Stegostoma tigrinum: one gene and its partners. The protein of the gene in region 2 interacts with the protein of the main gene of each other region in a pairwise test. Links are inferred from orthologs where the notes say so. Each region holds a gene or a part of one and is shown on either strand. Other genes may lie near its edges. The genes, in order: myelin transcription factor 1-like protein, cdc5l, KAT8 regulatory NSL complex subunit 1-like and kalrna.

The links.
Region 1: the proteins of cdc5l (region 2) and myelin transcription factor 1-like protein interact in a two-hybrid assay, tested with the Homo sapiens proteins (2 studies listed by BioGRID and IntAct). The link is inferred for Stegostoma tigrinum from reciprocal best matches to the Homo sapiens genes CDC5L and MYT1L.
Region 3: the proteins of cdc5l (region 2) and KAT8 regulatory NSL complex subunit 1-like interact in binary tests that used the Homo sapiens proteins (3 or more experiments, as listed by UniProt). The link is inferred for Stegostoma tigrinum from reciprocal best matches to the Homo sapiens genes CDC5L and KANSL1.
Region 4: the proteins of cdc5l (region 2) and kalrna interact in a two-hybrid assay, tested with the Homo sapiens proteins (2 studies listed by BioGRID and IntAct). The link is inferred for Stegostoma tigrinum from reciprocal best matches to the Homo sapiens genes CDC5L and KALRN.

Annotation. Positions count from the first base shown.
Region 1 is NC_081357.1:110,908,428-110,915,372, forward strand, and holds the start of myelin transcription factor 1-like protein, read right to left. Parts: upstream 3,007-6,945; 5' UTR 2,992-3,006; intron 2,980-2,991; exon of another isoform or gene 2,779-2,979; intron 1,320-2,778; exon of another isoform or gene 1,291-1,319; intron 449-1,290; exon of another isoform or gene 242-448; intron 99-241; exon of another isoform or gene 82-98; intron 73-81; exon of another isoform or gene 1-72. UniProt on the Homo sapiens protein: Transcription factor that plays a key role in neuronal differentiation by specifically repressing expression of non-neuronal genes during neuron differentiation.
Region 2 is NC_081357.1:76,296,472-76,303,892, forward strand, and holds the start of cdc5l (cell division cycle 5-like protein), read right to left. Parts: upstream 3,014-7,421; 5' UTR 2,847-3,013; coding exon 2,802-2,846; intron 1-2,801. Other genes in the region: protein downstream neighbor of Son-like, read left to right, coding at 5,713-6,025.
Region 3 is NC_081384.1:40,721,217-40,729,042, reverse strand, and holds the start of KAT8 regulatory NSL complex subunit 1-like, read left to right. Parts: upstream 1-4,820; 5' UTR 4,821-5,255; exon of another isoform or gene 5,256-5,284; intron 5,285-7,826. UniProt on the Homo sapiens protein: Non-catalytic component of the NSL histone acetyltransferase complex, a multiprotein complex that mediates histone H4 acetylation at 'Lys-5'- and 'Lys-8' (H4K5ac and H4K8ac) at transcription start sites and promotes transcription initiation.
Region 4 is NC_081360.1:53,269,237-53,276,461, forward strand, and holds the start of kalrna (kalirin), read right to left. Parts: upstream 3,017-7,225; 5' UTR 2,441-3,016; coding exon 2,374-2,440; intron 1-2,373. UniProt on the Homo sapiens protein: Promotes the exchange of GDP by GTP. Activates specific Rho GTPase family members, thereby inducing various signaling mechanisms that regulate neuronal shape, growth, and plasticity, through their effects on the actin cytoskeleton.

The DNA of each region.
Region 1 (6,945 bases), about 35 Mb from region 2:
ATATCAACAGGCCGAGAAAGAAGCTGAAAATTCATAGTTTGAAACAACAATAAAAGGGAGCAAAAGAGTAAGTGCACATACTCCGTGATGGCTGCTGAATCAAACACAACCTCAGCTTAAGGGCATCAGACAGACAAGAGACTGCAGAAAGCCAAGCTATGTAGCATGCATCGAATATGAGCTCCCTTAAGAGACAATCCTTCTGCAGCAGTTTAAAATCACCAGCATCTTGCTGACTTACCTCTTCCTTAGCTAGAGTCTCACATCAGGAAAAGTTGTATTCCATCCAAATCAAAATGTGTGGCCAAAATTTCATGGATATCAGAACAATAGAAGCATACGTGACAAGTGTTTCCTAACACTGTCAATAATTCTGTGGTCGATTCTACTAGACCATGGTTTGGGGTTGTATACCTTGTGTTACTAATACAGTACCCATGGGTCTTTGACTCTGTGGAGCTGTATGTGCCTGGTATTATGTGCAGTACTGTATATAATGTAATATAGGGAAAAGCTGAAAATATGAACAAAAAAAGCCTCGTGATGTAAAGTTAAAAACTCAAAAATTTGCAAAAGGCCATACATTAAATTCATATTTATGGCATGTCAATCAAGTCAACAAAAATAAAAACTACCAACTTACTAGAAGAAAATTAGAGTTTTGAGCTTTAGAGATAGTACAGATTAGGGTAACAATCTGAGTGATCTGCATCACATCATTACTTCTTTTAAAATTGGCTGAAGTATATGAATTATCAGGTTAAACATCTGAGCACTAATTTCCTTTGCACCTTGGAAAACACATTTGACAATTCCTTTTGTCAACCAAATTAGGAACATAAACTTCCAAAGCTATCCCACCTCAAAGTGAACTAATACATTGTATCTCCAATTATAAAAATCATAAAAAATATTTGTGACACAACAGTACAACAACAGTATGCTGACCGCAAAATATTTAATATTTAAATATTCTCTTAAGTTTGTTATTCGTCATAAGAGATTTTTAAAATATTTTAAGCACTGCACATGCATTGATTCTAAATCATAAATGAGATATAATTAGGAAATTATGATTCACTGAGCTGTATCCTAAGTTAATTCCTATATTAATCTTTCTGTGCTAGTATCTTCATCAATACTGTCAGATATCCAATGTAATACTTCTTACTTTGATCTTAAAAAGTTTTATAGTAAAGTTACACAAACGATTTAATTGGTTTTACAATTAAGACTTCAGACAAGCAGCATTCTAAAATAGCACTAAAATGTTCAAAATATATTCTGCACCTGTCACAGGAAGGAGCACGCTAGATGCATTATTAAGCCCCCCAACACAACGAAACATCCTGAGCTAACAAATCGGCATGACGCATTACGAAGGTAAAGCAAAGAGTAATTCTCAGTCTGCCTGTTAGCCGGTAGGGGGTCAGTCAGAGCTCAGGACGTCAGCCATGGACAGCTCCTAGTGCTGACGGGCCATTCAGACACATTTTCCAACTGAAGCTATGTTTTAAAATAACCGGCAAATAGACTGATGTATAAACCCAAAGAGCAATGCTCGCAGATTAATAGTAGATAAGCGTACGTCCTTACATTATCACATTAGTTAAATTAATGTTGGAATTAGAACAAATCAAAAGTTACTTTCCAAAAAAAATGACAGACAAAAGAAAACGGCGAACTGTAGCACCATACTTTATTTAACCCGAAGCTGTCACTAGTGATTCCCAAGCTTAGAAGCAATCGAATATTTTTTTTGCTTCTGCAGTACACAGATGCTTGAAAATATTAAGCAGCTCCAGAGTAAAGCAATAAAAGATTTGCAAAGTAATAATATCTGTGTAAAAGGGGCACTGAGAATTATGGTGCTCGATGTCAATGTGATGTGGCAATATTTAAAGGTAAACTTTTATGAAGACCAACTAATTATATTTTGTATAGTTTTAAGAGAACTTCTAAACTATTTTAAAGTTTACCCTTTATATATTAACTGTGATTTAGAATTGTTTAGAACTTTGCAGTATTAAAGCTAATTTTGTGAAGTTAGAATTGAGGCAAATTGAAAACAGCATTTTGAAAGTTCCATCATATAGCTCAAGTTTGATAGTTTCAGCTTAAGGCCTAAATCTGCTGCCTCTAATTCTAAGCCCTCTGTCTTTTCTATTTTACATGTCTGAAAATTTATGGAAACCCAGAATATGTTTTGATATTTGTTTAATAACATAGTCGGCTTTCTTTACTTACGATAAGTTGAGCTAGGTATTTGAAAATATGGCAGCAAATACTTATAGGCACATGCAAATACAACAACTTCTAAACACTTTTAAGTGTGTGTCCTGACTTCATACCAAATATATTGCTTCAACAAATAACAATCAATGACTAAGTTTTACCACAAGATTGGAAGGCAGATGTCTAAGTATTGTATCAAAAAGGATAGGGTGCACAGCTATCATTAAGTAACCAACAAACACAACTGAGGATAGGACCACTGGATTCAGTAAATAAACTCAAAGGGCATTATGCAGCATTTTCACAGAAAAGACCATTTTTCATTACATTTTTTTAAACCATTGCCCAAATATAACTGGATCACAGCCGACGCTGCCTGTGTTATTCCTACATTCTCATTCAACGCAGTTACTAGAGCACAGCACAGATACAAATAAAAAAGCAAGGAATCTCATCAAACCCACATCAGCAATATCTGATTGTGAGAAGACTCTCCAGAAAAATTGGGAAGCAAAAAACAAGAGAGAACTGAACTACACCCACCACGATAAGCAAAATACTGTGACTTGAACCAGACTGCAGGGAACAACACTCTTCGCTGTGTAGAAGCCTAGGTAAAAATGTCGCCTTGGCAAGGATGACAAATGCAGCACGATAGGCTACCAGGCCTAAGGGATCTGTTATACTTCCACATACATCCACTAATGCACACACTCCCACTCATCCTCTCGATAGGCTTTTTTCACATCTTTTTACCAGCTTCAAATCCCCGGCATATGACCTTCTGTTAAATAGATAAAAAAAATGCTTATCAGTCATGCAAATGAGACTGAATTCATTTTCCACAACAGATGGCCTCATAGATAATGATGATGGAACACAGAAAATTGAATGTCTCTTGCTATGTGGCCATGGCAACCGGGAGCAGAATAATATCAATAAGAGGTGCTGCATAATAAGGCTGTCAGTTCTGAAATTCACGCACTCTGAAACAGGTAGAGCGGGCAAGTTAATCTATATTTTTGAATTTTCTAGGTTTTTTTGTGAATGAATGATTATGGATTTTCTTACAAAATATCGCCCTGTTCATCGAAGCAGTTATTTCCTAAGCTTTCTTTGTTGCAAATTGCATTTTGTTTTTTTTTGGCTTTTTGACTGGGGGTTGGGCATGGTTTACTGTATCGGGGTGGGTTTTGATTTAAATACTAGGTATTAATCCGTGCTTGCTGCAGTCTCGCTGATATAGAATGCTGCAATGATGCAACAGTGGCTCGCGTCAGGCTTCCACCCCGGTCCTCAAGGGGCTGTCCTGCAAAATGAATCAGCAGACATCCTGATCAAACTGATTAAAATAAAAATGGCAAAGGCACACGTCTGGGCGGAACTACTGCGCCTCACTGCCTGACTGGCGTGCACGCTTGCAGCAAGGCACCTCGACTGATTGACACAGGCAGACCAAATTGAGAGGTGTCTGGGGTCTTCCAAATAAACAAAAATACGAGCAAATTTTGAACCGAAGGCAAAGTCCTTGTGACACAGAATGGGGGCGGGGGGGAGAAGAGGGTGAAAAAAAGGCGTGTGACTTTTCTCCTCAGCTGTGCCTGCCGTTTTCTGGGCTTGTGCTTCTGCGGCGAGCTCTTGTGCATTTTAATTCAGAAATCAATAGAGACGCTGTAATGGAGGCTCCACTTTCCGAGCAGCTGCAGACACCAGTGTTCAAAACAGCCACTGACGTCTGTGAAGGTTTTTCAGCTGATTGGGCACCGCATCGGATGTTCTGTGAACCAAGGAATAGGAATCATTTACAGTCTGTTTTTTTTAAGTATATGGCAGCTTGGATTTTTCAGTCCAGAGAAGATTGAAGCTGCACCCCTACGCACTCGGCTGCATTGGGAGGCACACAGTGCAATATTCTCCCTGAAACTGACGTGAATACCATATCCTGCAAGCTGTTGCTCCCGTACTGTCAGCGAGCAGCCTAATCTCACACAATAAATGAAGGGAGGAGCACGGCAACCCTTCCAGAAACACAAACTGGAACCAACTCACTCGCTGTGAAATCCAATGGTGCGGCTGGAGAAATTTGTTCGTGCCCCAAAAAACTCGCGTTTATATATTTTCGACCACTGTAACAATACTTTCACACCTTATATAAATGCATAATAAATATTTCTCAAGCAGATATTGAAAAATCCCATTCTTTCCATTCAATAAAATCACTTCCTACGTTATGAGTAAAATTTAAAGGCTGCTCAGTGGAAGTGTTATGTAGGTACAACCCTAATAAATTTCACTGCGGCGAGGAGGCTCAATGCACTTCTGTCCACTGGATGGGTTTCAGTGGGGAATCCATTAACACAGCGAAAAAATGTCATAGAGTCATGGAGACGTACATGACTGAAAAAAGGTCCTTCAGCCCATCAAGTCTGTGCCAATCAAAAACGACCACTTAACATTTCTCGTCAAATTTTCCAGCACTTGGTCCAAAGTTTTCATTGTCTTCGCATTGCAAGTGGAGGTCTAAATAATTCTTAGATGTTTTAAGTTTTTCTGCCTCTCCCATCCTTACAAGCAGTGAGTTCCACATTCCCAACCCTTTGGGTGAAGGGGATTTTCCGCACATCCCTTTGAGACCTTTCGCCCCTTACCTTAAAGGTATTTCACATAGTCATTAATCCTGCCACCATGTGGAATAGTCTCTTTCTGCCATATTGAATGTTGACATTGAAATTATGCACCCTTGTCATTTCTATGATCTAATGTGTTCAGAACACTATAACAAGGGAATGCTGCACTGTCTGCAATGCTGTGTTACAGATGAGACATTAAATCAAGTCCCTGACTGTTTTCACAAGTTCTATGTCCTGGGAACAGAGAAATAAGCAACAGTAATTCACCCTGTTCCCCAAACAATGATGCCATGGCTGTTCCATAATCTAACTTCAGGTCCCTGCCTTAGCTCCATATACAACTCTCAATACTCATGGCTGGCAAAACTCTATCAATCCCAGGTTTAAAATACAAGCTTAGTTTATGTAATTTCTCGTTAGAACCCTGATAACTAGGGATGGGCAATAAATGCTGGTCAGTCAGCAACGCCCACGTGCCATGACCGAAGAAATGAAAACAAAGACATTCTGACAAATCTAGACTGTACTCGTTCCAATGTATCCCATAACTTCAGAAATCACATTACACCAGGTTATAGTCCAACAGGTTTTATTTGAAATCACAAGCTATTGAAGCGCTGCTCCTTCACCAGGTGAAGTCACTTCATCTGATGGAGGAACAGCATGCCAAACACTTGTGATTTCAAACAAAACCTGTTGGACTATAACCTGGTGTCGTGTGACTTCTTGGATAAGCATATGGATGATGATGGGATAGTGTAGGGGAAGGGGCTTAGATTAGTTCATGGGTTGGAGCAACATCGAGGGCCAAAGGGCCTGTTCTACGCTGTATTGTTCTATGTTCTATGTTCTGGCTTTGTCCACCTGGCATTTCCACATCATGGCTCCCATAATGACATACAGTACTTCACATGTGGCATAACTAGGGCTTTGGACATTTGCGGAAAAACTTACTTCCTTCTAGCTTCTGGCTTCTACCTTCTAGATCTCCTAGCCATATCTTTTCCCTCAACAAACATCACTAAAAAAATTATCTCATTATATTTCCATTACACATTTGTGTACAAATTGACTGCACATTTCTTACACTATAATAGTGACCATTCAAAGAATAGTGCTGACTTTCAATGTAGCACTTTGAGATCCCGAGGTTGTGAGAAGTGCTGAATAATTTGTGCATTTTTCTTTCTTTTTTGTTTCTTTTTTGCACAACTTTATTATACGAGACCAATTGTTCATAATTGAGGCTAATAGTCATTTAAATACTTGAACAAAGTAAGAATATATTCAAATTAGTAATGGTTTATGCTGCAACAGTAATATAGCTCTGAGTTCATACATAGGATACCTTTGGAGATAACATTGCAACTAGTACCATTAGAGGCATAGAGGGCCATTTGAAAAAGTGGGTTTCTTCAGGTGGCATACGGCAATGTTAGTGCCATCTGCTCTTTTAGCACTGAGGCTGTATTTTCAGCCTAACAATGCAAGATTATGGAAAAGCAATTTTCGGAAAACTGTTTTTTTGGGGGGCCGTAACATTGGGTAATGTCCAAAGTCAAAGATACAAGCAATAGTTGTGGACAATATGCCATACACAAGTTTAGGCACCCAGGTGATTGAATAAATGCATAGCCCATTGTATTAAGGAGTACATTTACAGAACATTAGAAATAGGATCTTAATGGCCAATCCTTTCTGTGAACAGCTTAAAACATAATGCAGAGATTTGAAGACTTGCTCAATTAATGGATCTGATTTCAAAGTTTGACATTGTGCAGCCTTAAAAGAAAATTCAAAATATTAAATATCTGAAAATAAAACAACTTGTATACTTCCATCTACAATCCGACCCCACCACCCAAGACATTTTTCCATCCCCACCCTTGTCTGCTTTCCGGAGAGACCACTCTCTCCGTGACTCCCTTGTTCACTCCACACTGCCCTTCAACTCCACCACACCCGGCACCTTCCCCTGCAACCGCAGGAAATGCTACACTTGCCTCCACACCTCCTCCCTCACCCCTATCCCAGGCCCCAAGATGACTTTCCATATTAAGCAGAGGTTCACCTGCACATC
Region 2 (7,421 bases):
TGTGTGGAGCCCTTCGCTGTCTCCATCAGGAAGGACGTGAGCCTGAAGGGCGTGACTATCCCAGGCAGCGGAGGCCTTCAGGTCAAGACCTCCCTGTACATGGACAATGTCGCCGTCTTCTGCACCGATCGTCGCTCGGTGAGTAGGCTGTTGGACATCTGCGGCCAGTTTGAACTGGCCTCGGGTGCCAAAGTCAATAGGGGTAAGAGCGAGGTCACGTTCTTCGGGAACTGGGATGACCGCTCCTTCATCCCCTTCACTGTCAGGACGGACTACCTGAAGATGCTGGGTGTTTGGTTTGGTGGAGCTGGGGCGTGCACTAAGACTTGGGAGGAGCGTATCACCAAATTGAAGCAGAAGCTGGGCAGGTGGACGCTCCGGTCCCTCTCCACCGCGGGTAAGAACCCGGTTGTCAGGTGCGAGGGGCTTTCGGCACTGTTGTATGTGGCGCAGGCCTGGCCTATTCCCTGGACCTGCGCCGCTGCAGTCACCCGGGCCATCTTCCACTTCATTTGGGGGTCGAGGATGGACCGGGTCCGCAGGGACACCATGTACAAAGACCTGGGAAATGGGGGGGAAAGGGCGTACCGAACGCCACCCTCGCCCTGACGGCTACCTTTGTGCATAGATCCTCAGTACGCAAACACCAAATGTCACTACTTACTGAGGTTCTACCTGTCCCCAGTATTGCGAAGGATGGGCCTGGCCTCGTTGCCGCGGAACGCTCCGAGTAGTTGGACTGTTCTGTACCACCTGTCCTACGTGGAGAAATTTTTGAAAGGAAACACCTTTGACCACAAGGCCGTCAGGCAGTGGTCAGCACGTAGTATCTTCGAGACCCTTTGGGAAAAGGAGAGGGTGGATCCCATCGTGTGGTTCCCCACGCAGGCTGCCAAAGTCGTTTGGCAGAATGCCTCATCGCCAGAACTTTCAAACAAGTACAAGGACATTGCTTGGCTGGCGGTGAGAGGGGCTCTGCCAGTGAGATCCTTTATGCATGCCCGGAATCTCTGCGTCACCGCACGCTGCCCTCGAGGTGGCTGCGGCGGGGATGAGTCTGTTGATCACCTCCTTCTGGCGTGTGCCTATGCGCAGGAGGTCTGGAGGGGGATGCAGTGGTATTTGTCGAGGTTCGTCCCGAGCAGCTCCGTGACGCAGGACTCCATGCTATACGGGCTGTTTCCTGGGACGCACACCGAGACTAACATCAACTGCGCCTGGAGGACCATCAATGCGGTGAAAGACGCTCTTTGGTCTGCCAGCTGAAAGAACTGACTCTGACCGAATGTTGCAGACTGGCGCACTCTAAGGTCTAGGACTACGTGCTGAGGGATGCGCTAAAGCTTGGGGCAGCCGCCGCCAAGGCGCGGTGGGGAAAGACCACGGTATGAAACCCCTCGTCCAGAATAGAAAAAAGGGCCCTATCTGGTACCTGGGCCCAGCTGGCGCCTTCCCCAACTGGTCAGGGGGCCAACTGGGACTGTGCAGGGTGACAACTGCCGGGGTATTTTCTTTGCTTTGTTTTTTTTCCTTTTAGTTGATGTATGTACCCCCTGGGTAACCCAGAGCGGCTTGCATGACAGGGTAGGTGTATAAATATGTTTTATTTTTTGTACATCTTATGAATAAAGTATATTTTTTCAAATAAAACAAAAGTGACGAAACGTCTGAAAACTAACCTTCCAGCTCAGCGAGCAATCTCACATCCAGAACCTCAACCTGAGCTACAAATCTTCTCAAAACTCGCTACAACCTTTCCGTATCTGCCGTCAAGTCCTCTAAGAATGATTTTGTTTCAATAAATGTCACGTCTCATTCTTCTAAATTCCAGTGAGTACAAACCCAACTTTATTCAACTTCTCCTCATAAGACATTCCGTCCATATCCAGTATCAGCCTACAAAACCTTCTCCATATTGTTTCCAATGCTAATATATCTTTCCTAACGATAACGTCACAACATTCTAGTTGCGGTGAATATTTCTAGCAGAACACCCACACTTTTATAATCCATTCCCTTTGGAATTTAAAAAAAAATCAACATTCTATTCGCCTTCACTATTATCCACCCGAACATGGATGCTAACTTTTTGAGATTCATGGATTTTATAATTCAATTGATCATCCTGGATTTAGAACTCTAACCGTCAGTGTTTTCTTTAGCATTATGATGTGTCAGTGCAAGGAAGTAAAACTTAACTTTTGGCACCCATTTTCAAGTATTCACAGATCACACAGATTCGAAGAACATGCAGGTGTGTGAAAAAGAACTTCAAGCCGCACCACCGCGCAAGATGAAATGTAATAAAGGTAAAAATCGCCGTTGTCTTAGCAGACCATAGGGCAGTGCTTTTATTAGAAGACGATTGGTGGTAGTTCATCTGCAGGTCACCATACCTCAGGTGAGGGGGAAGAAATTGAGAAAAGTTACCATTGAAGGACTTAAGTTGATGCGGAAATTGGTTTGGTGCACAGCAAAGGAGTCAGTGATTCCAAGGTCAATTTCTGACCGTTTGAAAAACTGTCCCTAAAAGAGCGACATTAATCAGTTTCTAAATCACGAGAAATTTTTACTGCATCAAGCCGCCAACTAACAAGAAACCCAAGAACTTGGTGTAATTTTGACCGTGGCAAGGGAAAAAGACGATCAAAATACTTGACGTCGCACGGTGAAAACAGTGAAATGCAACCGGGAAATGCTAGCATCAGCTCGGACAAGGGGGAAGGAAACCCCGTCTCTGGGCCCGGCGGAAAGGGGTAGACCCCAGTCTCCGGGCCTGTCACACAGGCCTCACCACTCACCTCCGTGTTCCTCCAGACACCTCCTTTAATCATTATCCGCGGCATCCTGGCAGTCAGCGACTGGTCCGAGGGAATCCTCGGCAGCTGCAAACGGTTAGGAAGGAGCTCAGTTATTTAACCAAACTTGAACCCAACTCCGGTGATAAACCTCCGGCCCTAGGTGCAGCAACGGGCGATGAGGTGACAAGGACAACACAGCGCTCCCAAGGTGGCCCGCTGCCGCCACCAAGAGCGCCGCCAAGCCTGGCTGACTGACACTGCACCCATTCCACTCCTCTCAACTTTACACCGGACAGATCACTTTGCAACGGCATCATCGTAAATAAACAAATCTTTGATTGTGGGTAGTCATGCAACGTGGGAAAACGACCGTTCGATCCAACTCGTCCATGCCGACTAGTTTTCCCAAACTAATCTACCCTAATTTCCCTGCGTTTGACCCATATCCTTTTACTACTCACGTAGCTGTCAAAATGTCTTATAAATGTAACTGTATAAGTGCATCTACCACTACTTCTGGCAATTAATTCCATTCATGCACCATCCTCTGTGTAAAGACATTATCCCTCCGTCCCTTTGAAGTCTTCTCCTTCTCACCTAGAACCAATGCCCTCAAAGTTGAGAGGGGAACGATTTAAAAGGGACTTGTGGGCAACTTTTTCATACTGAGGCTGCTTAGTCAAGATTGGTGTTTCTGTGAAGGAAGAGCATAAATTTCTGCTGAGGCAGGTTTATTGAAAGGGTTCTCTTACCAAGCTCCAGGGTAGTTCCTGGCAGCTTGGTCTAAGTCACTGCGGCCTCAGTGGTATAGAGGAACGCTGACCTTCATTGCTCTGACAGCGTAAGTGCTCTGCTCTACTTTCTGCTACCTTAAATTCAATCACTCTGCTACTACACTGACTGTGCAACAAGAGTCAAGTTCCATCACTTTTACTATAGCCTTCAACATCTTCACTCATTCATCCTTCTTTCCCCTAACCTCCCACAGCATTAAATATGCATGGCTTCTGCTCTACCTGTGCACTTGCCCAGGAGGCCTCATCACCTATTGTCCACCTGTCCCAGCAGTATTAGTCATGCTGATACACATCCACATTTTGGCTGAAAGAAGTTTCCTCAAATCCCTTCTAAATCTCCTGTCCCTTACCTTAAATTTATTGTCCATCTAACAAGGGGAGAAGCTTCTTTGAACCAACTGTATCTATGCCTCTTGCAATTTTGTACACCTCAATCAGGTCCCCTCTCAGCCTTCTCTACTCTCAGGAAAATATCTCCAGCCTTCTCAGTCTCTCTTCATAGCTAAATTAATCCAGTCCAGGTAACATCCTGTTGAATCTCTTCCTAGAATCATAGGATATAATCATAAATCCTTACAGTGTGGAAGCACATCATTCGGCGCATCAAGTCCATGCTAACACTCTGAAGAGCATTGCAGCCCTCTACCCTATCTCTGTAACCCTGCAATTCCCCCAGCTAATCCATCTAGCCTGCACATCCTGGAGAGTATGGGCAATTCAGCATGACCAATCCACTTAACTTGCACATCTTTGGACTGTGGGAGGAAACTGGAGCGCCAAGAGGGAACTCATGCAGATATAAGAAAATGTGCAAACTCCACACAGACAATCACCAAATTCTAGAATCAAACCTGGGCCCCTGGTACTGCGAGGCAGTAATGCTAACCACTGAGCCACCGTACCATCTCAGCTCTCAGTCATGTTCAACCCAGAGCTCTTCCTCAGAACTGGTCCTTTCGAGTGTATAATTCACTGCCACCTTACTTCCAGATATGCCCATTTTGATGAAGTTCTGCTCTTCTCGCCATCAGGCCTTCGCTTTTAATCTTTCAGCCTTAGCATGTTCATTGCTTTCTGTCTCCATTTCTGAAGAATGGTCAAACCAGAATCAAAACATTAACTCAGTTTCTATTTCCACAGATGTCGCTAGACATGCTGAGTTTCTCCAGCATTCTCTATTTGTTCCATTTTCCTCCAGTGCAGACTTGCCATTTTTAATAATATTTTTCATGAACCTTCAACACAAGTTTTCTCTGGTACAATCATATTCCTCCTACAGTCTGGTGACCAGAACTGTACCCACTACTTCATCTGTGACCTAATATCTTATACACAGCAACCATTACTTCCCTCCTCTTGTACTCAATGTCTCAACTAATAAAGCAAGTCTCCCTTAAATCTTCTAAAGCACCATATCCACCTGTCCTGCGGCCTTCAAATAACTGTGGTTATGCACACAAAATTCTTCTGATTCTCTGTACTTCTTAAGGCTCTACCATTCAACATGTACTCCCTCGCCTTGTTAGTCCTCTTAAAATGTATCACACCTCACTTTTCATGGTTAAATTCCTTTTGCCACTGTTCAGCCCATCTTGCCAGCCTGTCTAACAACTGTATCAACCATTAAAGTTTCTTGACACCTGGTCACTGGACTCAAAACGTTAAGACTTTTGGTTTTTCTTTAGATGTTGCTAGAATTGTTGAGCTTCTCCAGCAATTTCTATCTTTATGTGTCTCAGATCTCCAGCATCTTATGTTCTCTGTTTTACATTAACTTTTCATTTCCATCCAATGCTGCCTAAATCATGTTCCCCTTTTTAGTGTATGTGTTTCCCTGAAACTCTTCGTGTTTTTGCACGTCGACTGGGGTAAATTTTAAAGTTGTGTGGGTCATAGTGGTGAGATGAACTTCAGACAGTTTTGGGGTGGGGGGGTGGTAGGTGGAAGAAAACTACGAGTCCCATGATGCCCTGGAATGTTTGGTGGGGGAGGTTGGTGTGAGGACGGCGACGCAGTGCGCATGTTCCGCCGGCGTTGCCGCGGTGCAGGCTGGGATGTGAGTTCCACACTGACCCTCCTCCCCTTCCCCAGACCCAGGCCAGTTCCCGGTGACCATGGTGGGCACCTACTGTTGTGTGCCGGGCTGCTTCAACAACACACTCAAGAACAAGGAGCTCTCCTTTCACGTCTTCCCCAAGGACGAGACGCTGCGCGGCGTTTGGATCAGAAACCTGTCGCGCTTGGACGAGAGAAAATTCAGCGTGTGGCAGCCCAAAACCCATCACAAAGTCTGCGACGCCCACTTTGCTGGAGGCAAGAAGACCTACATGAACAATGTGCCCATCGTCTTCCCCGTGAAGGTCGAGAGGTCCCGCAAGAAGGAGCAGGCCAGGCTCCTGCTGCTGGGTGCCAAGATTACCCCACCAGGTACACTCCACACATGCAGCAGCAGATGGACATACCCCGCCTCTAGTGGTCAGGTCAAAAGTTTATAATCCCTGTTGAATTTAGCGTCGAAAATGTCAGAAACGTTGAAAATTCTGATCGTTTTATTTGTGGATAAAAAGTAATCCGCTTAATTTTAGGGAGATTTTAGCGGTCGGGTCTGTATCTTAAACAGAATTCGCTCCCTTGTAAATCAATTACACAGACGTGGAGATTTCCATTTGAAGTGCCTGAGCTGCAGTCTGTTGTTCACAGTGTAATCTGAACTCTTCAACTGTGTTACTGTTATATAATTCGCTAGTTTTTATTGAGTATTTCGTGATGACGTTGTGTTTTTCAAATGGGTCCTGGATATAGCTGGTTTAATTTTAGCTTCTTCCATCGTGCCGTTCCCTACTGAGAAAACAGGAAAGTAATAACGTGTGAAGCTGGATGAACACAGGCCAAGCAGCATCTCAGGAGCATTGACACTTGATGACTGGGAAATATTTGAGTGCTAATCTGGAATGCTTTCCTTTTTTTTCGACGTCCGTTAGTGGGTCGAGCAAAAAATCTCATAAGAGGCATGGCGAAAAAAAAGGAAGATCACCTCACCCCACCCCCACCATGGCATATCCTTCGCAGAAATTCCCCTAAGGATACTCTCAGCTAGGTTGCACATTCTGCAGTAATGGCACAATGCAGTGCAACGTACTGCCCTAGTTATTTAACGAAGATAGTGAGGTGGAGTTTGAAATGAAAAAAAGCCATTCTTCCAGTGGCAGCATAGTCTGCACTGTGACAGACCTATTAGTCAGCACTGATATTCATGAGCTGTTATACAAAGCTTACTGAGTATAGCAGAGTTCAATGCTATTGGCGTTTTAAAACTATTAACAACCATAGTTTTTTTTTATCTGATTTGAATGTCTTTCTTATAAATCTGTCTACCCTGTACGAAATTCTAATGTGGTTCCAGATGTTTTGGCCAAATATCAGCCAACGTGTACTCTGGCTTAATTGTCAGATTAGTTTCTAGGAATATTTCCTCTACTTTTATTATGGCATGTTATTTGACAAGCATAGTGGAACTAATTCAGAATTATCATGGAAACAGCATCAAGAAACATTGTATCCAATTAAGATTGATCAGAAAATGAAATTTGCCTTTAAGTGTATGGTGGCATTGTGGTTTTGCAATTAGATTAGTATTCCAGTTCTACAGGCATCAATTTCATTCCCATTGCTGTAAATGGGGAATTCAAATTTAATTCATAAATTAAATTTTAAAAGAAGGAATTAAAAGCTTATTAGTAATGGTGACAACCAAAGCTGCTGTTTTGTGTGAAATCCATCTGGTTTACTAATGTGCTTTAGGGAAGAACGTCTTCTGTCCATA
Region 3 (7,826 bases), on a different chromosome or scaffold from region 2:
ACCTAAAAATGAGCTATCAACCTGGTGAAACTACCAAACAGGTTTACTTGCACACCAGACAGCATAAGTAGCAAGTGATAGACAGAGCTAAGTGATCCTACATCAGATCTAAACTCTGCAGTCCTGCAACATATAGTTGCGAATATTGGTGGACAATTAAACAACTCACTGGGGGAGGAGGCTCCACAATTATCCCCATCCTCAGTGATGGAAGACCCCAATGTATAAGTGTAAAAGATAAGGTTTAAGAATGTTCAGCAATCTTCAGCCAGAGGTACCGAGTGGGTGATCCATTGTAGCCTCCTCCGACTGTCCCCAGCATTTTAGATATTAGTCTTCAACCAATTTGATTCACTCCAATTCACATGATTCCTTCAGGGAATGGTCTTGTTGAAAATTGTAAGGATATATTCATTTTGGGCTTTTGTTTCGGATAATGGCCCTACACAATCTACTAGTAAACAAATGAATGTCTCCTCAAAAGCCAGTGTGGGAATCAGGGGAGCTGGTCTCATTACATGTTGCAGTTTAGTGACAAATCATCAAGAATGGCATGTTTTACAAAACTGCACCTCTCTATGTAAATTTGACCAGGTAAGAAAACCTGTTTATGAATAGCTTTCAGAGCCCCATATGTCCTGCCATGGGCATTTCACGTACCACTCAAAATCCCCCTATGATAGCTGAGTGATATCTCTACCTGATGAACAACGACACATTTTTCATCTGCAGGTCTGTGAGGGACTCCACTGCCTCATTCTCACTTTAAATAGCACTCTGGGTCTCCTTCAGCATCTACCTCAAGATGAATTGGCTGTGATAATTTATTTAATTCAGGATCTGCTTCTGAGTTTGAGATAGTGAATTCATTGTAGCTTCAAGGAGGTGGTCACACTGCAGGTTTAGTCATATAGATTGGTGACCACCAGGAAAGGTAGGCAAGTAATGCAAGGGTCTCCTGTGGCACCTCTCAAATAAGTTGGATACTGTTGGGGGGATAGCCTCTCAGGGGCAAAATAGCAGCAGCAGCCTGGTGTTTGGCACCACAACTGGATCTGCTGTAAAGATGGGTATGGCAAAGAATTATGATAGCGAACTGTATAGTCAAGGGCATAGACATTTCTGTAGCTGCAAACAAGATTCCAGGAATGGTGTGTTGCCTCCTTTGTGCCAGGGTCAAAGACATCCCAGAGCAATTCCTGGAAATTTTCAAAGGAAAGTGTGAGTAGCGAGAGGTTGTTGTATACATTGGAATCAATGATATAAGCACAAAAGGGGATGAGGTCCTACAGAGTGAATATAAGGAGTTAGGCAGGAGGTTAAAAAAACAGGGCCTCAAGAATAGTAATCTCTGGATTATTCCTGGTGCCAGGTGCTTGTGAGAGTAGGAGTAGGAGGATAGGGCAGATGAATGTGTGGCTGAGGACACAGGGCAGGGGGCAGAGATTCAGATTTTTGGATCATTTGGATCTCTTTCAAAACAGGAATGACTAACACAAGAGGGGCAGGTTGCACCATAATTGGAAGGTGACCAATTTGCTGGTGGGAGATTTGCGAGAGCTATTCAGGAGGGCATAAAATAGGCCGGCAGGGGTTGGGACCCTAAGCAGTAGTGAGAGAACAGAGATGGTTGAGGCTGGTACAGAAGCTAAAGAGATCAAGTTAAGTAGATAAGGCAGACAAGAGCACGACAGGGAATGAGGGAACTGCATTTATTTCAATGCAAGAGACCTGACAGGGAAAGCAGACCCGAAATGTCAACCTTCCTGCTCCTCTGATGCTGTTTGGCCTGGCTGTGTTCATCCAACTCTACACCTTGTTATCTCAGGGCATAGATGGGCACATGGGTCTGGATATTGTAACTATGACAGACACATGGCTGAGGGAGGGACAAGACTGGCAGCTCTGTTCTGGGCTGCAGATAATGTAGGAAAGAAAGAAAGGGAGATAAGAGAGGGGGAGTGGCATTTTTAGGGAAAATATCATGACACTTCTTAGACAGGATATTCCTGAGGGATTGTCCAATGAAAGTTATGTGAGTGGAACTGAGAAATAAGAAGGTGGAGATCACTGTAATGAGATTGTACTGTAACCACCACACCCACCCCCAACAGTCAGAAATTGAGGAGCAAATATGTGGGGAGATCACTGACAGGTGTAAGAATAATAGTGCTGTAATAGTGAGGGATTTTAACTTTTCAAACATTGACTGATATAGTGATAAGGGCTTGAATGGGGAAGATTTTGAAAACTTAATCAATATGTAGATGACCATACAACACAAGGTGCAAAACTTGGCCTCCTTTGGGAAATAAGGCAGGGCTAGTGGCTGATATGTTAACAGGGAAACACTTTGAGACCAGTGACCATAATTCTATTAGTTTTATTTTTGTTATAGAAAAGGATAGGCCTGATTCACATATTAAAGTTGTAAATTGGGGCAAGGTCAATTTTGATATATTAGACAGGAACTTTCAAAAGTTGATCGGGGAGGTCCGTTCATAGGTGAAGGGCTATCTGACAGGTGGGAGGTTTTCAAAAGTGAGACAACAAGAGTTCAGAGCCAGCATGTTCCTGTTGGTATGAAGGGCAAGGCTGGTAGGGGTAGGGATAGGGAACACTGGATGATTAGAGATATCAAGATTCTGCTCATGAAAAAGAAGGAGGCATATGTCAGGTATAGTCAGCTGACACCAAGTGAATCTGTGGAAGACTATGTAGCAGTACATTTAAGAGGGAAATCAGAATGACAAAAAGGGACGTCATTGTAGATTGGGTAAAGGAGAATGCAAAGACATTCTATAAGTATACAAATAAGTAACAAAGCAGAGAAGAAGGCCCCCTAAAATTCAACAGGCTGTGTATGCATAAAGACACGGGAAATGGATGAGATCCTCACCACATATTGCACTGCCATATTTACTGTGGATAAAGATATGGAAGCTCGGGAACTCGGGGATGTAAACAGTGATGTCTTGAAAAAAGGTCCAGCATTACAGAAGAGGAGATGCTGGAGATCTTAAAATGTATAAAGGTAAATAAATCCCTGGGACCTCATCAAGTACATTACGTTAAATTAGATTCCCTACAGTGAGGAAACAGTCCCTTTGGCCCAACAAGTCCACACCGACCCTTGAAGCATCCCACCCAGACCCATCCCCCTATGACCCACACACTTCTGAACACTACGGGCAATTTGGCATGGCCAATCCACCTAACCTGCACATCTTTGGACTGTGGGAGGAAACCGGAGCACCCGGAGGAAACCCACGCAGACACGGGGAGAATGTGCAAACTCCAAACAGACAGTTACCCGAGGTTGGAATCGAATCTGTGTCCCTGGTGCTGTGAGGCTGCAGTGCTAACCACTGAGCCACCGTGCCACCCTCAGGACATTGTGAGAAACTTGGGAAGAAATTGCAGAGTCCATAGCAGAGATCTTTGTACCATCAACAGCCATTGGTGAGGTGCTGGAAGACTGAAGGTTGGTTAACGTGCTACTAGTTGAACAGTAACTATAATAACTAGTTACAAAGGCTGCAAGGAAAATCCAGTGAACTGTAGACTGGTGAGCCTCACGTCAGTGGTGGGTAAGGGATTTTGAGAGAAGGATCTACATGCGTACGTAAAACCGAGACTAGATTACCGAGGAAGATGCTGGATAGGCTAGGACTTTTTTTTCCCCCTGAAGTGTAGGAGGCTGAGGAGTAAGTTCGTCGAGATCATAGAAGCGTGGGGCGCATAGATACGGTGAATAGTACCAAGTACCCTCTGAATTCTTTCTCTGCTAATCTGACTATCCCAATCTACATAAAAATTAAACTGACCTCAAAGGCTAAAGTCACTAAAGGTTGGTACAATGCGTTTGTTACTTACCCTTATTATTTCCGGATTTATTCAGTGCAAACGTATCGCTACTGTTAGATTGCCTATAGACCATTCCGCCCAGTGGCTTCTTTTCCCCTTGTTTTCTTTTAACCTGAACCTATACTGATTCTACGCACAGAAAAAGAATAGACAAAAAGTTCAGAGGGGAATAGAAGAGGAAAAACGAACTTTAAGTTTAAAAGAAAAATCAGGAACAAACTTGAAGACCGACTATCGGCTTAAGGTTCACCATCAGGGCTCTATAGTTAAACCTTCAGTTGTGATCATGAGAGTTGTGTGCCTGCTCGAATATCACGTTTGTCGAGATCTTTTGTGTAAAGGAGAAATTTGCCTCGCTTTTCCAAAAACACTCACAAAAGGTCATCATCACTCTTGGATAGAGACAAGAACATTCTCTTGGTTGAGATAGCAAGAATTGCAGATTCTGGAGACGGTGGTAACAAGGTGTAGAGCTGGTGAATCACAGCGGGCCAGGCAGCATCACAGGAGCAGGAAAGTTGACCTTTCTGGTCGGGACCCTTCTTCGGAAACAGTCTCTTAGTGCTCAGTGATAAAAAATAATGGGAACAGCAGAGGCTGGAGAAAGTCCCTGGGCCCGCAACCCTACCCATATCACCATAGGTCCGCCCCTGCACATGTAGCTCCGCCCTAGAGCTTTTGGCCTCGCCCTTGGGCAAGTTGTTCCGCCCCGGTGTCGTTGCGAATGCCCTTGACCACGTAGCCTCGCCTCTGAGCATGCAGCACCCCATTATACTTGTAGCCCCGCCCCTGATCTTGTGACTACGCCCCTGGCAGTGTAGCCCCGCCCCAAACAACGTCATCCTGTCTCGCCCCGGGCATGTAGCCCCGCCCCTGGGCTTGTGGGTCCGACCCTAGCTGTGTAGCCCCGCCTCCTGGACATGTAGCCCCGCCCCCTTGGAGAGGCCCTTCTCCTCCGGAAAGCCCTCGATCTTCGGAAGCGCGCCCCGGGCCGTAGAGGCAGTTTGGCCTTGTCTTGGCCTCACTTTGGGCCCCGACTCCTACCGCAGACCTTCACCCTTTCTTTCCTCGGCTGCATTTCTGTGATCGGGTTCCTCCCCCAGCTCTCGGCTGGTGCTGTCACTGGGGACAGGATGAGAGCTGGGACAGGGGACCGGCTTAGGAGGTTGTCGGTGCTGGAGCATCCTCGGAGCTCAAGAGTTTGTGAGGCCGGCGCTCGCCCTCTCCTCACCCATTCGATCTTCACCGATCCGGCGGCGGGGGCTGAGGGGAATCAATGTGTGTGGATGAGGCTTGGGAAAACGGGTGTGGACGTTATAGAGAGGAGAGAGACGACCAAACGAAGATGTGGTGATGGAGAAATGTGTCCTTCCACGATGATGAATGAGGTAGGGTTGAGGATCAAGGATAGGGAGAGGTGAGTGGAAGATCGGGATGGCTGAAAGCGTGTGATGGTGACCGAATGGCACTGGTGTTTGGGATCACTGTTGTTGAATATCAGATGTTGAGTTTGGGTATGTGTGGAGCAGGGTGGGTGCAAATCTGTGACCCTCTCAGTAAACATTCTTGTGGGGATGAGGACCATAAAATGAGAGTCTCAAAGTTGACGTAAAATTCAGACATGCTTGGGTCTCAAACTGGAATCTTCAGATCTGAAACTAATTGCATTGATATCAGGGATGAATGAACATTTGTCGATAAGAAATTAGATTAACGTGTTTTATAGTAGATAGGAGATTTTTCATTCTTTTTAATTAATAGAATTTGGCTGTCACCAACCAGCACTTATTACCCAGCTATACCTGCCCTTGAAAGTTGGTGTTGAGTTGCCTTCTTGCACTATCACAAACTATTTGCTTTATGTACTCATATAATGCCATAAGGGATGGAACTTTAGGGATTTTAATCCAGTGACATTGAAGGAATGACAATATAGTTCCAAGTCAGGATAGTGAATGGCTTGGAGGGGAATATGCAAGTGGTGGTGATCCCAACTATGCTGCCTTTGCCCTTCTAGATGATAGTGTTATTGGGTTTGGAAGGTGCTATTGGAGGATATTTGGTGAATTTCTGTAGTAAATGTTGTAGATAATATGCACAGTTGGTGGTGTGGGGAATGGATGTTTGTGAATGCGGTGTCATTCAAGTGGGTTATTTTGTCCTGGATGGTGTTACCTTCATGGCTGTTGTTGGAGCTCCACTCATCCAAGCAAGTGGGGATAATCCATTACATTCCCGATTTGTGCCTTGTAGATGCCTAGTAGATGATGGAGAGAGAGATAACAAGCTGTGGAGCTGGATGAATACAGCAGGCCAAGCAGCATCAGAGGAGCAGGAAGGCTGACATTTCGGGCCTAAACACTTCTTCAGAAATGGGGCAGGAAAGGGGGTTCTGAAATAAATAGGGAGAGAGGGAGAGGCAGATAGAAGATGGATAGAGGAGAAAATAGGTGGAGAGGAGACAGACAAGTCAAAGAGGCAGGGTTGGAGCCAGTAAAGGTGAGTGTCGGTGGGGAGTTAGAGAGGGGATAGGTCAGCCCAGGGAGGACGGACAGGTCAAGGGGTGGATGAGGTTAGTAGGTAGGAGATGGGTATGGGTCTTGAGGTGGGAAGAGGGCATAGGTGGGTGGAAGGACAGGATAGGAAGGCAGGGACAAGCTGGGCTGGTTTTGGGATGCAGTAGGGAGAGTGGAGATTTTGAAGCTTATGAAGTCCACATTGATATCTCTGGGCTACAGGGTTCCCAAGCAAAATATGAGGTGCTGTTCCTGCAAACTTCGGGTGGCATCATTGTGGCACTGCAGGAGGTCCAGGAAGGACATGTCGTCAAAAGATTGGGAGGGTGAGTTGAATTGGATCATGACTGGGAGGTGCAGTTGGTGAGTGCAAACTGAGTGTAGATGTCCCGCAAAGCAGTTCCCAAGCCTCCGTTTGGTTTTCCCAATGTAGAGGAGGCCACATCAGGCACAGCAGATACAGCATACCACATTAGCAGATGTGCAGGTGAACATCTGCTTGATGTGGAAGGTCTTCTCGGGCCTGGGATGGGGCTGAGGGGCGACGTGTAGGGGCAGGTGCAGCACTTCCTGCAGTTGCAGGGAAAAGTGCCGGGTGTGATGGGGCTGGAGGGGAGTGTGGAGTGGATAAGGAGTCACGGAGAGAGTGGTCCCTCCAGAAAGCAGATAAGCGTGGGGAGGGAAAATGTCTTTGGTGGTGGGGTCGGATTACAGATGGCGGAAGCGTTGGAGGATGATGCGTGGGTTGGGTGGTACGTGAGGACGAGGGGAATTCTTTTTTTAGTTGTTATTGCGAGGATGGGGTGTGAGGGATGAGTTGTGGGAAATGTGGGAGACACGGTCAAGGGCGTTCTTGACCACTGAGGAGGTGAAGTTGTGGTCCTTATAAAACGAGGACATCTGAGATATTCGAGAGTGGAATGTCTCATTCCTGGGAGCAGATGCAGCAGAGGCGAAGGAATTGGGAATAGGGGATGGCATTTTTGCAGGGAGATGGGTGGGAGGAGGTGTATTTTAGGTAGCTGTGCGAGTCAGTGGGCTTGAAATGGGTATCAGTTTCCAGGTGATTGCCAGAGATGGAAACAAAAAGGCCCAGAAAGGAGAGAGAGGTATCAGAGATGGTCCAGATGAATGTAAGGTTGGGGTGGAAGGTTTTGGTGAAATGGATGAACTGTTCGAACTCCTCGTGGGAGCACGAGGCGGCGCCGATATAGTCATTGATGTAATGGAGGAAGAGATGGGGTTTAGGGCCAGTATAGCTACGGAAGAGGGGTTGTTCCTCATAACCTACAAAGAGGCAGGCATAGCTTGGGCCCATGTGGGAATCCATGGCCACCCCCTTAGTCTGTAGGAAGTGGGAGGAATTGAAAGAGAAGTTGTTAAGGGTGAGGATGAGTTCACCTAAGCAGATGAGGCTGTCAGTAGAGTGGGACTGGTCGGGCC
Region 4 (7,225 bases), on a different chromosome or scaffold from region 2:
CTTTTTCAAACTTTGATTGCTTTGTCCAATTTTTGAAAATTTTTTAAACAAAATAATGTTAATAAAAATGGATTCTGTAATAGTATAAATATTACAAGACTAACAAACTGTCTTAAAGTCAAAGAATTACTGAATTTAATTACTGATTATTACTTTTAATTATTAACAGCAATTACAAAAGGCACATTTGCTAAGTATGGCTATGCGCATTTGCTGACGGAAGCACATTAGTTCATGAGTTATTTAAACTTTAGCAATGCTGCATGTGTTATCACAACTCTGTATACAAGAATGGAGTCATCCTAAAGAAATATCAACATTACACTACCTATGTAACAGGTTGCCCAGTGTTCATCTATTATTCTTGTCAACATATCAAAAATTGAGATAGACCAGGCAAGAACATGGTTTCAATTTGTATTCAGTCATGGATTCTGAAATAGGTGTAACTCAACTATGTGTAGCATTAGTGTCTATCACACTACTGAAAGCTGCAAATGAACAATTTTTCTCCATAACTTTATGGTCAGCCATCAACAAGGGGTGTGACACTAGGGGTGTAACAAATCCACCCATTTGATTATTAAACTAACTGTGCTGAGAATGTGAGTGCATATGCAAACTTCCTAAACAGCCTATAATCACAAATATGACAGGCAAGTTTGTTTATGGCCTAAGTGGATACAAATCATGGAACTACAAAGGCAACTACCAACTAACAAGAATCTGCAAACTTCAAAGTCATCATTCAACATTGACATATCTTAATAAGATTTTCAGAACAATAGAACATGACAAGAGCAGCCCTGTACCTCCATGATGTCTGTTATTTTTAACCTTTGGCATGCTGGGGAGCAACAGCTGTGCATCCATCACCCACAAGCCAGCATGGATGAAGATAAAATGCACTCACTGTCAGTCAGTTGTCATGCCTGACCCTGGGCCATTATAAAAAGACATGCTAGCAAATGATGACTTGAGGCACAACATCAAATGTAAAATTAGATATTTTTGAAAAGGGCAGAATAATCCATTACAGCCTGGGAGTAGCTGTCATTTTTAAATCCTTGAAACATGGTGGTGGTGGTAGAGTTATGGCAAATCCTTGAGTTTTACTCCAAAAAAATCACAAATCCTTTGTACCTGCTGTTGATGTGTATGTTAATGTGGCTATTAAGACAATGATTATTACATATCATTACGATGGAAAAATAATCAGGTTTCAGTGGTATTAAAGTGAAAGAAGTATCGGCGGTTCATACTGTGATGTCTCACTACAGGCACTGTGAACATTAGCATGTTGTATAAAGAGAAAATAATTAGATCACTATAGTTATTTTATTCTTTCACGATGATGTGAACGTCGCTGGCAAGACCAGCATTTATTGCCCATCCCAAAATGTCCTTGAGAAGGTGGTTGTAAGCTGCCTGTAACCTTGTTCACTGAAAGGGGGTGTGGGAGGACCCAGTCTTTGAGTGCAGAAAGTTAGCTATCATATTTATTGATTACAAATTGTAATCCTTGACATTTTTTTGAATATAGCTGTAACATCTCTAAAAATGAGCAGTGAAGGCGGTCCTTACGCTCCATCAGCAAATCCTACAAGCCACACTGTTGGCGTGTGTTGAGAGCTAATATTGCAATGGGTATTTGAGATGTAGCTAGATGGCAACTTCCAGGCCAGTGAAAACGGTAGGGCACACATTCACGATAAAGCTAGCTAGGTTGTCTGTTGAAATAATTTAACTATAGTCAATATCGACTATTGACTATATAACTATAGTATCTTATTGTTTGAAATGCTATTAAGTGTATCTATCGCACATAATACCGTTCTCAGAAATAAGAATTTCAAATCAGTAAAATTTATACAGCGCTTAGTTTTACAAACAACATGAATTGGTTAAAATTCAAACGATGCAATCTTGATTTCCTAGGAGGCACAAAGCGCCATTGAGCTTTCGTTTCATTGCTACTAGCACTGCCTTAGCCTGGCAACTGAGGAGTGTCATTACAGCAAGACAACATCAGTGTTCCTTTCCATTTACAGTGATAAAATGTTATCATCATCGCAATTTCAAAAACATGACAGAGTAAATAAAAGGCCACTGCTGGTTATCTTCATCTCAGTTGTCAAAGACTTCATCCGAGATTTTCTTTTCCAGCATCAGATTTCCTGAAACAGTTTCATTGTTCAATGTACACACACGCATGAATACAGTGGGCGAGTCGGCCTGACAGCGGCCACACAAACTCGTGGATTGTGATAGTAATACTGGAGATGCTGCTTCATGCATTGAACGAGGGTGAAATCACTTGCCACCCCTCACAAAGCTCTTTGCCCCTCTCCTCCCCATTATATCCCCACTTACCTGTCTTGAAAAATGCTGCAATATCACCATCGTTGACGCATTCGTCTGCCCCTTCTGCGGAATTCATCGTTGACTCGATGCAGAAATACAACAAATTACATCCACTTCTACTGCAGACTAGGCTCCATATTCGGTGCTGTTAAGCAGTGGTGTTTTGGAAAAGGCTGTGCTCGACTAAAAGCCTCTGTATTTGTCCTCTATTGTTCAAAGGCGCCCTCCTCTCCCCAACAGCAGCGTCACAAGAGCAACAATAGACTACACATGGGCAAGCTCAATGCATTTTCACCAGCGGACAGTTCCGGAGCCCTGCCACTACTTGAAATATCCCCCGTAGAGGCCTTGCATCATTGACGAATTCAGTGAAATTAAATCCTTCCTTGCAGCCTACTTCAATGTAACCAGCTCACTGAAGCCTTCGAAGGAAGTGATCCCAATGACAAGAGGCCGGGAGACAGTTACACCGGCCCTCGGGCTGTCTGCATTTTGTTTATGGGTGTGCGGTTACAAGAAATTTGAAGGAAATGAGCATTGACAAAGACCGTTGAGAGGCAGCGGGTGTCAGTAAACAGATATTGGGGATCTGGGACAGCAAAGGGAGATCGGATTCTTGCTTGAACAAACTATTCACTCACTGAGCCGAATGGTTCAAATCTCATTTAACACAGATCACTGTCCCTGTGATTTGCAACTTCGCTGTGTGCCGAGGAGTGGCCGCATTGCGCCCTCTAGCGTTTGTCGGTGCACTGAACCACATCCGACTTTTCTCAATCTTGTGCACAATAAATACACCATACGCATTTAACAATTCAGACTAGAATATGATCCAAATTAAATTATTTTATGCAAAATGGCGGGGGTTAGTCTATATGCACAACTATAATGTGATTGAAAGTGATAGTAATCTGTGACTGACTTGCCCAATAAGGCAATCACAAAGTCATCCTGGCGTTACGTTGTATCAAACACATCAGGTTTGCTTCAAAGATTATTTTTGGGACTGTTCACCCATTCACGCTTCTCTGTAAAGCAGCGCAAATGCTCTCATTACAATATCAGTACATTTGCCAATATCGATCAAGGAAAAATATATTACTTTTTAGGTAATGTGTTTATCTAGCTTTACACCTTGTTATCTTACTTTATTAGGTACATCCCTTTAATAACTTTGAAGAATTGATTCAAAACAAAAGCCAAATCGCTGTAAAGATTGTAGTCTTTGTAACCGAGTTAATGAGTAGCTGGAATAACACATTCCCTAAAGACCCAAGCCCACCTGTTGTCCCCAAAATACTTCCTGTAACCATAGCCCATCTGCTTGACATCAGCCTCAGCAAGTGTGGATTCATTCATCACACCAATTTCGATTTCTCCTTGAATTTACGCGGAATGTCTCCATGTGATGTAAACAAGCGAAGGGACATAAATTTGTCAGTGATACACAGGGTTGTTTTATTATTTTCCACAATGCAACTGTATATTGAAAGCATTTGTCTTTTTTATTGTAGATCACAGCGGGTCAGACAGCATCCGTGGAGAGAGAGCAAGCTAAGGTTTCGAGTCTAGATGACTCATGGGAGGTGCTTGTTGTGCATTAGCTCAGGCTATCGATAATGAGTGGGATTTGACCTTGCCCACAGTGCAGCGGGTACAGAACTTACTCAGACTGACCACACTCAGGCTGATGGGCAAGGTCAGAGCGTAGGCAAATCATTTATGCGGTCACTGAGTTGCTAAGAAACGGCGTAAGCGCAGTAAAAAGGCATTGACCCATAACAGAGAAACATCAGTGCGATGCTTGAATTATGTGTTATTAATAAGCTGCCATTTAAATCAACGCCAGAAAAGAGCCGTCTAGACGTTTACAGGTATTGGTTACACATTTTATAAGAAGTTAATGGGCGTAATGTAGTTTAAATCATATTGGCTATGATGTCATGTTTTACATTGGCCCACCCTATATTAGTGACAAAATTGCAACCAAGCCCAAATACTTTTTTTTTATCAACTCGGTATTTCTCCAGTTTCCACTCTCCCTCGTCCCTGGGCTAATGATTGAAGCTCAGATGTACATCCATTCCGAGTTACAGCCCTTTTGACTATTCTTCACTTGTGGGTCTTAATACTGGCTGGTAAGTGATGGTTTAATTTTGGGGAGTTTAGTTTTCAACAGTGAAATATTAGTCAGCAATGACGCCTAGAAGTCCTGGCTAATTGCAGACCTGCAAGTTAACTCCCACCATTCCATAGGAACATATGAATAAGTAGCAGAAGTAGGCTATTGGTGGTCAGATCTGTTCCTCCATTTGATAGGCTCATGGCTGATCTGCTTATGGCCTTAACCCACTTCTCCTGCCTATCCTCAACTTCATCTCTGCCCTAAATGGGGATCCCGTCTTTTTCAGTTTTAAGTCTCTGCTTTCAACATCCATCCTGTCAAATCCTGTCAGGATGCTTCAGTAAGATCACCTCTCATTCTTCTAATGTCCAATGGATTCAGGCCCAACAAGTTTGACCTTTCTCAGTAAGGTAAACTCTTCATCCCAGGAATCAGTCAAATAAATATTCTTTGAACTGCCACAAATATAACTATGATCCTTCTTAAATAAGGAATCCAGAATTGTATCCAGTAACTGTGGCTATCGTTTAAGCAATACCCTGTACAACTGTAACACAACATCCGAAATTTTATATTCCATTCCCCTTGCAAGATACAATAATACCCCATTTTTCCAACTACCTTCCTAATCACTTATTGTCCATGAATATTAACTCTTAGTAATTCAAGTACCAGGACACCCACCTCTCTCTGTACCTTAACATTCTGAGATCTTCTCCAATTTAAATAACATTTTTTTATCCTTACTACTCAAGTGGACAAGTTCACATTTACACACATTATGTTCCACCCGCCAACATTTTTGCCCATTCATGTAACTTATGCATATCACTTAGTAGACTCCTTCTGCTATCTTCACAACTTTCCTTCCTACCTATATTTGTGCTGTCATCAAATTTAGCAAGCATTGGTTCAGTTTTATTTTCCAAGTTCTTTATAAATATTGAACATATTGAATACATGGTCGAAATTGAATCACCAATTCCTGTGGCACTGCACTCATTGTATTTTATTGACCCAAAAATGACTCCCCATTTCCAGTTAGCCAACAAATTCTCTATTCCTTTTTAATGAATGAAGGGTTTGTCATATGAGGAATGGTTGAAGATTCTGGGTCTGTACTCAAAGTGGGGGATCTCATTTGAAACTTACAGAATAGCAACAGGTATGGATAGAGTTGACATGGAGAAGATGTTTCCTCTAGTAGGAGAAATTTGGATCTGTGGGCACAGCCTCAGAGTGAAGGGATGGTCCTTTAGAATTGAGATGAGGAGGAATTTCTTTTGCAAGGAGGAGGTTAATCTATGGAATTCAATGCCATGGAAGGCAGTGGAGCCGAGTCATTGAGTGGTTTTTAAGACAAAGGTAAATAGATTCTTGATTGGTAACAGGATCAAGGGTTATGGAGAAGAGGCAGGAGAATAGGGTTGAGAAACATATCAGCTATGATTGAATGGTGGAACAGACTCATTGGGCTGAATGGCCTAATTCTGCTCCTATATCTTAACATGTTATTCTAACACCATAAACTCTTATTTCGTGTCGAAACATTTGATGGTACACCTTGTCAAATGCCTTCTGAAAATTTAAGTTTGCCACCTCCATAGGTTCCCCTTTATTTACTCAAAGGGGCGGCATGGTGGCTCAGTGGTTAGCACTGCAGCCTCACAGCGCCAGGGACCCAGGTTCGATTCCAGCCTCAGGTGACTGTCTGTGTGGAGTTTGCACGTTTTCCCTGTGTCTGCGTGGGTTTCCTCCGGGTGCTCCGGTTTCCTCCCACAGTCCAAAGATGTGCAGGCTAGGTGGATTGGCCATACTAAATTGCCCGTAGTGTTCAGGGGTGCGTGGGTTATAGAGGGATGGGTCTGGGTGGGATGCCTCAAGGGGCGGTGTGGACTTGTTGGGCCAAAGGGCCTGCTTCCACACTGTAAGGAATCTAATCTAATCTAATCTAAAGACTAATGAATGAATTGTATGTGAGTTTTCTTTCATAAAACCATGTCGATGCTACCTGATTGCATTGAGCTACTTTAATGATAGATTGCAGCATTCTTCCTAATGACAGTTGTTACGCGAACTGGCCTGTTATTTTCTGCTTCTGTTTCCATCCTTCCTTGATGGACAGGTTATATACATTATTTTCTAAAATTAGGCCTTTTCAGAATCTAGAGCATTTTGGAAAATTGAAACAAATACATCTACTATCTCAGCAACCACTCCTTTTAAGACCCTAATATGAAGTCCGTCAGAACCTGGGGACGTGTCAGCTTTTAGTTCAGAGTTTTCTCGGTATCCCTTCAATGGTGATTGTAATTTTAAGATCTTTCCTCACTTTCACGTCTTATGTAAACTTATTTCTGAGGTATTATTCCTATATTCTATAGTGAAGGTAGATACAAAATATCTGTTCAATACAACTGCCATTCCTTATTTTCCATTATTAACTTGCCAGGTTCACTGGGTAGAGAACCAGTATTCACTTTATTTATTTCTCTATTGTAAATACCTGTAAGAACACTTTTGATCTTACATTTCTAGTGAGCTTTTCCTCATACTCTAATTTCTCCCTCTATATTATTACTGTACTAATTGTTAAACATTCTATCCAATCTTGTGACCTGCTATGTATGCCCTATTCTCTGAAATTTTATACTGTATTTAACTTTCTAAATTAGGCATGGATTAGGTGGCTGTACCCTAGATACGTTCTTTCTCACTGGAAAGGATCTTTGCTGA